Caenorhabditis elegans: one gene and its partner. The protein of the gene in region 2 purifies or fractionates together with the protein of the main gene of each other region. This does not show direct contact. Each region holds a gene or a part of one and is shown on either strand. Other genes may lie near its edges.

What was found.
Region 1: the proteins of metl-17 (region 2) and mltn-2 fractionate together in Caenorhabditis elegans (co-fractionation; one large-scale study listed by BioGRID). This does not show direct contact.

The regions. Positions count from the first base shown.
Region 1 is NC_003279.8:11,022,958-11,026,712, reverse strand, and holds the start of mltn-2 (MLt-TeN (mlt-10) related), read left to right. Parts: upstream 1-2,119; 5' UTR 2,120-2,216; intron 2,217-2,546; 5' UTR 2,547-2,559; coding exon 2,560-2,691; intron 2,692-3,268; coding exon 3,269-3,467; intron 3,468-3,513; coding exon 3,514-3,638; intron 3,639-3,755.
Region 2 is NC_003279.8:14,838,165-14,841,919, forward strand, and holds the start of metl-17 (Methyltransferase-like protein 17, mitochondrial), read left to right. Parts: upstream 1-1,767; coding exon 1,768-1,848; intron 1,849-1,905; coding exon 1,906-2,003; intron 2,004-2,050; coding exon 2,051-2,621; intron 2,622-2,675; coding exon 2,676-2,765; intron 2,766-3,267; coding exon 3,268-3,734; intron 3,735-3,755. Other genes in the region: F32A7.8 (uncharacterized protein), read left to right, coding at 753-974.

The DNA of each region.
Region 1 (3,755 bases), 3.8 Mb from region 2:
CGCGACCGCAACGCGCGGGCTCAATTTTGCAGAGATGCCATTTGGTTCTTTACATAAACATGAAAATTTGATAGCACTAAAGGATCCAAAAATTTTAGTTCTAAAGGCCCACTGTGAGTCAAATTACGACCTTTCAGAGTTATCCAGCTAGCCGCGACGCTACCGCAACGCGCGTTCGAAACTTTAAAAGGGTATAACTTGGCTCCCTCTTGACCGGAAACGTTGAAACATTTGTGGTCCACTGCAATCATTTTGTTCTACAATTATCATTATTTAAAAGTTCGAAATATGAATTTTGCAGAACTTGACAAAAATTGAAATTTATTTATTTCCAATTCATATATTAAGTTTCGATTACCAATTATGTTTTCTCACTGCTCCACAATTTTCAGCACTGTAGACCCGTTTTGAGCCAAGTTACGGGCTTCCAAAGTTCTCTCGCCAGCCGCGACGCGACCGCTACGCGCGGCCTCAACTTTGAAGCTGCGTAACTTGGCTTGCAATAATCGTAAAGATTTGAAATTTTTGGAGTTTACGTATACCATCTTGATCTCTTAGTAAAAATACATTTTTTAACTCTCCAACTGCTCCAAAGCTCCAGGCTCAAAACTGTTTTTTCAGTAATTATTTTCAACGAAAATACAAATAGTAGTAGTAGTAACAATTAATTATCCAGATTCTAAACTCTATGATAACTGACAGCCAAGTTATTCGGCTTTAAAATTTTCACGCCGCGTTGCGGTCGCGTCGCGGTCCACCCACAAACTTTGAAACGCTATAACTTGGCTCCCAAAGGTCCTAGAGCTCTGAATTTTTTTGCAGGCTGTTTGGAATCTTATACTTCTGTTAGACATGTTTTTTTTGTAGTTCCGCATCACCAACCCACTAAGATCAAAAGTGAAATGATAGCGGAACACCGGTAATGACTCACTTTCATGTACTTTTCCACGCCTTTCCTCTTTCTGCGAAAAAGGTTAATAGCCCCTTTCCTCTCCCTTTCCTCACTGATTACTTTTCATTCGTATTTATTCTCAACTTGACCTCCACTTCCTTTTTCAGATGATTCTTTTTCTGCTGGTACTATTCCACGTGGCACTGGCGGCTCGCGATTCCCCAGAAGCCTCCACTCACCTGAAAACTCTACTTGGTGACAGTACTCCTATGATAAATACAACACAGGATTCGGTTCTGGATCTTTCGAATCACTGGATTGAGCAAGCGGTCTCTGCGTTGATGGCTACGGTAGCTAATGAAAAGTGAGTTGGTTTTTATGGAAGCACGTAGCAAAAATTTGGGAGCTCCAGGCCCAGTAGGAGTCAAGTTATGAGCACTTGAAGTTTGGGTCTGAGCCGCGACGCGACCGCAGCGCACGGGCCAAATTTTATTTTTGTTTTCAAATATTATACATTTTGTAATAGTCAAAAGATTCACTGGTACGTGAAGATACAGTGGCAAAAATTTCAGAACCCTGGGAGCAAAATAAGCCAAGTTATTGGGTTTAAAAGTTTAGGTATGAGCCGCGACGCGACCGCAACGCACCACTCAAACTTTGAAGCTGCATAACTTGGCTCCCAGGTGTCTTACAGCTTCGAAATTTTTTTGTGTAGTTTAGTGACATTGAGGTTTCCTTAAAAAAATCAGTTTTTAAATTAAATTTTTGACTGTTTTTCAGTTTCCGGAGTGGTAAATTTGTTGATGATTATATTCCTAAACTTTATTCAATTCTGAATAACCATATATTTTTTTAAGCTGCTTCAAAAAGTTTGAGAGCTCTAGGTCCACTTTGAGCATAGTTATGAAGCTTCAAAGTTTGGATCTGGACCGCGACGCGACCGCAACGCACTCCTCAAACTTGGAAGTTGCATAACTTGACTCATAGTAAACCTAAAGGTTTGAAATTTTTATAGTAGCTTCACAAAATATTACGTGTCGTGATAAAATAGTTAATGTTTCCCTTGACCGCGACGCAACCGCACCGCAGCTCCAAAACTTTGAAGCGTGAAAACTTGGCCCTCAGTGCTCCTAGAGCCTCAAACTTTTTTGGAAGAGACTTAAAATTTAGTATTTTATCTAAAATTAATTTTTAAAAACCTATTATACATTTTGTTTCCAGAATCTCCTCAGTAACCCAAGTAGAAACGCGTATTCACGAGAAATGTGTGCAAGCAGATCACAAAATCAATTAGGACGCTAAAAAACAAGAAGGAGGAGAGGGGGTGAGTTGCAGGAAGTTTCCAGAATTCCAGAATTTTTTTTGAATGCATAGAACTTAGGGACATAAAGATCCTGAAAAAATTTCAGACCTCTAGCACACCTAGGAGCCGAGTTATGACTCCTCAAAGTCTGGGGTGGAACCGCGACGCGACCGCGTAGCACGGTATTAACTTTGAAGTGGTGTAACTTGGCTCCCAGTGATGCTACAGCTCTGAAATTTTTACAGCAACTTTAAATTGTGAATCTCTGTAAGCCTGTATGTTAGTTGTTGAAAACCGCGACGCGACCGCTTCGCACCCCATAACACAAAATTCACATTTTCTGCTTTTCAGTTGGCGTCAAATTATGGTTGACGTGAAGAAAACAGGAGACGTTATTGAAAAGCGGAAGAAAGTCAAGGAGATGCTCGGAAAAAGTGTGCGATCAAGATCCGTAAAGCCGAAGGAGCTCCGGATGAGCTCAAGGAAACCATTAGCGGTGGGTGACTACAAATTATTTACAGAAACTGAGCTCAACTGAACTTGTATGCTGAAAAAAGTTTCAGAGCTCTAAGACCACTGTGAGCCAAGTTATAGAGCTTTAAAGTTTAGAACGTGCGACGCGGTCGCGTCGCGGTTCACTTTCTAACTTTGCGGCTTTGTAACTGGGCTCCCAGTGGCCCTAATGCTCTGAAATTTTTGGAGGATATTTGTGCGTAGTAGATTTTTCAGGCGAATTTTGTAAATGCGACTATATGATAAAACTTTGAGATTTTCGATAAAACTCAATTTTTTTCAAATTTTTGGAATCTTTGTCACCAGCAAGCTCTCTACATCTTCCTTGAACCGTGCAAAAATTTTCCGGATTTCTTTGTTTTTTGTACCCAAGTTATTAAGCTTCAAAGTTTGACCCACGCGTCGCGGCTGCGTCGCGGCTTGCCACCAAACTTTGAGGACCTGTAACTTGGCTCGCAGCTTATATATTGATCTGAAAATTTTGCACAAAACTCATCCAAGCCCAGGCTCTCTATTTCACAATTTTCCAGGAAAAAAAAACAAAACTGTATAATTTCCAGAGCTCCGACTACGAAGCCTTCGATGACCCAATTGAAGTGACCAATGAAATTGTTGAAGCGCCAAAGCTCAGCGCGGAAGAGCTTTTTCAAAAGATTCAAGAGCATCCAGAAGAGCTCCTTAAAGATGACCCACCGGAGCTCCTAAATATGACTGGAAAAGAGACTGAAGCAGTTCTCAGGATTAAGCTTATCAGGGAGGGTGAGTATTAAATTAGAAATAATTTTAATAGTTCTGAAATTTCCAGCGGTAAAGCTAGGTTTAAGCCTCGGAGGGCAGAATGTCAACGGGTTCGATCAGAAAAGTTTGAGATTTGCGTCTCCTCGATTCTTTGCAATTGCTCCAGAAGAGCACAAGATGGATAATGATACGGTTTGTTTAATAAAAAATTGAAAATGTTATTAGAAATTTTGCCTAAAATATTTGAAGTCTCTAGGGCACATTGGACCAAGTTATGACACTTTAAAATTTGTGGAAGAACCGCGACGC
Region 2 (3,755 bases):
AGACGAGGGAAGTTTATGTGAAGCATTTTCATCCGGGTTAGAAATGAGACGGTTTGTATCAGGTAACTTTTTTGTTTTCAAAAATTCTTGAAACGTGCGTTTGTGCAATTAAGTGCAATTAAGCCGAGATCAGAATTGGGAACCATGTTTCCAACTTGCAGGGCTCTGAACTTCAGGTTCTGGAAACTATCATGACCACTACCAGGACTAATTGCGTTCTATCTTTATCCAAGACTAAAGAATAGTTCGTCATGAAGACTACTATTTGTCAGTACAAGCTTATTAATATACACTGAAGAATTTTTCTAAAAACGACTTCTGTACTTGCTGAACTTTGCATATTTGATTTTCGATGTTGTGATCTCATTGTTTACTCATTTTTCGAATCCGACTAATTCTTCATCCAAATTTTAATTAAACATATCACACGTTAAGACCCGAGGGGATGATTGCAATCATAACGAGTATAAAATGCTATTTTGATAACCAGAATTCTTCATTTCGACATATTTTGATAGATCACACGTTTTTCTTCTTCTTCTTCTTCTCCCTTTTCGGATTTCCATGAGCGACCTGACATCTAGTTATGCTAATAATGTGCGCCTTTAAAGTGTTATTAGGGCATCTTCAAGACTTGTAGGCAAGCAGGTAGGCATTTTTATGCCTCGTAGTAAGCTGAATGTTCCTTACAACTATATCGTGACACTTCTTGTATTCTTCTTTAATTTCTCAATTCAAATCTTATTTTCCACATGCCACGCCGAATCGGCGCCAACTCGATTGCTCCAGAAGCCCCGAATACTGCACAACCAACTGTCAATCCGTATAGACGAATTGTTCTTCCCATGAAGGTCATAGTCGGTCTCACCATCATGACAGCCGCCTGTATCTCGTTCTCTGGATTCGTCATCTACGTGGTGATGACCAAACCGCACAATCCGAACATGACCGTGACAGAGTATGGGCCGTTATAAATGTAGTTTCCGTTGGTCGATTTTTTGGAGAACGTTCAATTTTGGAAGAAGCAGTTTTCTTTTTTGTCATCTGTTTTTTTTTTTGCAAAATTGAATAAAACTGTTTAAAAACATTCTCAGCGTATTTTAGCTTTAATAATAAAGTATAAATAGTTTGGTTGCTTTTTTTCTTCAATTTTCAAAACATATGAGCTGGTTTTTTGGCTGCAAGTTGAGCTGCCGTATGACCACAGCCGTCTGTCGATTTACGCAGCTCGTGTACTTCTCGAGAAAAATATGAGTTTTAAAACAGTTTTGTCTTGACTGATTGGTTTTGAATCAACTCAAAAACTTAGCAATTAAATCGTTAATTTAACTCTAATTTTTATATGACATTTAAGATGAAACCTATATGCTTTTAGCGTTAAAAAAAAGCTGAAAACTAGTTTTTAGAAGCTTTCATCATGCTTGAAGTTTCAAAAATTAACGATATTTAATTTGTCAATTTGAAATCTTCCAAAAACCAAGCATTTCAGCGGATCATTCGAAACTGTAAAATACTTCCCTCGGGGAGTACACTGGCTGAGCAAATTCCACATTTCAGAATAAAAAATGAGTTATTATTCAAAAAAGTAAACTTCACCATCTCAATTCAATTGAAATCGAAAAATAGATATTTAGTATCATTTCTCATACTCAGAAAAAAAATTGATGAAAAATTCCGATTTGAAATACCGCCAACAAAATTGTGCGTTATTTCGGAGCGTCGTTGCACAAAATTAATTTATTTTATTTTCACAAATTTTCACTTAAAATGCTTCAAAATAGACTATTTCTTCGACATTTTATTGCAAATTTTGCCACATCATCAGCATTCGAGCCACGAGAATTTGAGGTAAACGAAAAAATAATATAAAATCACTTAAAATTGAGATTTTCGCGTATTTTTCAGAACAACGAGAAAACCGCCATCACTGCAGTGAATGCGCTCACCAATGCTCGATCAATTGTGCAAATCACATCAAAGGAGAAAGTTGGGAAACGATTTCGGTGAGAGTTTTAGTAGTAATTCCAAAACATTTAAAGAGGTTTTTCAGACGTGAATTCAATTTGCCACAAAAAGCCATTGATGGGCTCAGAAATGCAATTATTACTTGTGAAAGACCGGCAAAACAACTACAAAATGAAGCAGATCAGCTGGCAAAGAAACTCGAACAACGAAGGTTTCCAGAATCTCCGGAAAAACTGAAAAAGCTCAGAGATGAAGTGAAAAGGAAGTTGAAATCGGGAAAAAAGGATGAAATATCAGATTTCGATAAGGAATCGTTCGGTGGAAAAGTGCAAGAAGCTCAACAATACGAAATACGGAATGAAGTGGATCGGATAATGAAAAAAGAAAATTTCAATTGGAAACCTCTAGAAATCACGACAAAAGAATCTGCTGCTGCCTATTCTCTGGCAAGATTAGCCCCAAACTATGCAGAAATCACCAGAACACTTGAAGAATTCAATACTATCCCCGATTTTCAACCAGAAACTGTTCTGGATTTCGGAAGTGGAGCTGGCGCTGGATTCTGGGCGATTCAGAACAAATGGCCAGATGTGAAGGAAATCACAATGGTGGATTTATCGGATGCTATGATGAAATTTTCGATGGATTCTTTGAGGGTTGGTATTCTTTTAGAAGATTTATTTTTAGATAATGACGTTTTTTTTTTCCAGAACGAACAGTCCAGTGAAGCTTCTCAAAACGGGCGGCCTTTTGTGCACAACAATGTCAATTTCAGGCGACATTTGATTCCTTCATTAAATGTATGCACATCAATATAATTTTAAATTAATTCAGAAAATGCAAAAGTGCAAAAAACGTAGAAAATTTTCGGACTACCGAATTGGCGAATTTTACAAATTTTGCAAATTTTGTGATAATTACTTTCAATTAATTAGAAAATCGCTTTGATTAAAGCAGAAATTTTATTTTTTTTTTCAATTAAAAATACACTCTTTTAATAATCTTCAAATTTAGTTTTTTTTTTGAAAAACGTTTCTTTTTCAAAATCTACCCCTAGTTGAGCAATGACGGATGAAAGCTTTTGTTTTGGAAAAAGCAAAATTTTTCAGAATTTTTCGCTTCTCGTTGCCCTCTTTCGTTCACTTTTTTTCCAAAAAAAGCAAATTAAAAAAAAAATGTTTTCCTAAACTACGAGAAACGAAAAATCGACATCCCAGTCTGCAAAAACGAAAAAAATTATTTTTTTCGCAATTTTAACAGTTTATTTCTTGTCAAATCATATTTCTTAACTTGAATTTCCAGACCACCTACGATGTTGTGCTAGCTCACCGCGTGCTCTGTGAAATTGGCTCTTCAGAAACTCGTCTCCAGTTGATCGAATCACTATGGAAACGAACAAATCGCTTCTTAATCCTGATCGAATCCAGTCAAACCGGAGCTTTCGGTGGTCTTCTCGAGGCTCGTGATTTTCTATTGACACAGGGAACTCTGGTGGATTATCGGAAATTGCTGAAATCACTAGAAGAAGCTGTGATGCTATCACCGAAAGTTGTTCGCATCGTTGAGGATTACAATTTGAGTGATTATGAGAAATATGCACTTTTGATGGAAGCAGTGCCACCTGGACATACAGTACCAACTATGCTTCCGACAGCTACAGTATTGGCTCCATGTCCTCATGATTTGGGTTGTCCTCTAGGAGTACACAGTTCTTGTACATTTAATACAAGATTTCAGCCTATTAGAGCCGATGGACGCAGATCAGAAAAGTGATTATTGATTTTTAAATT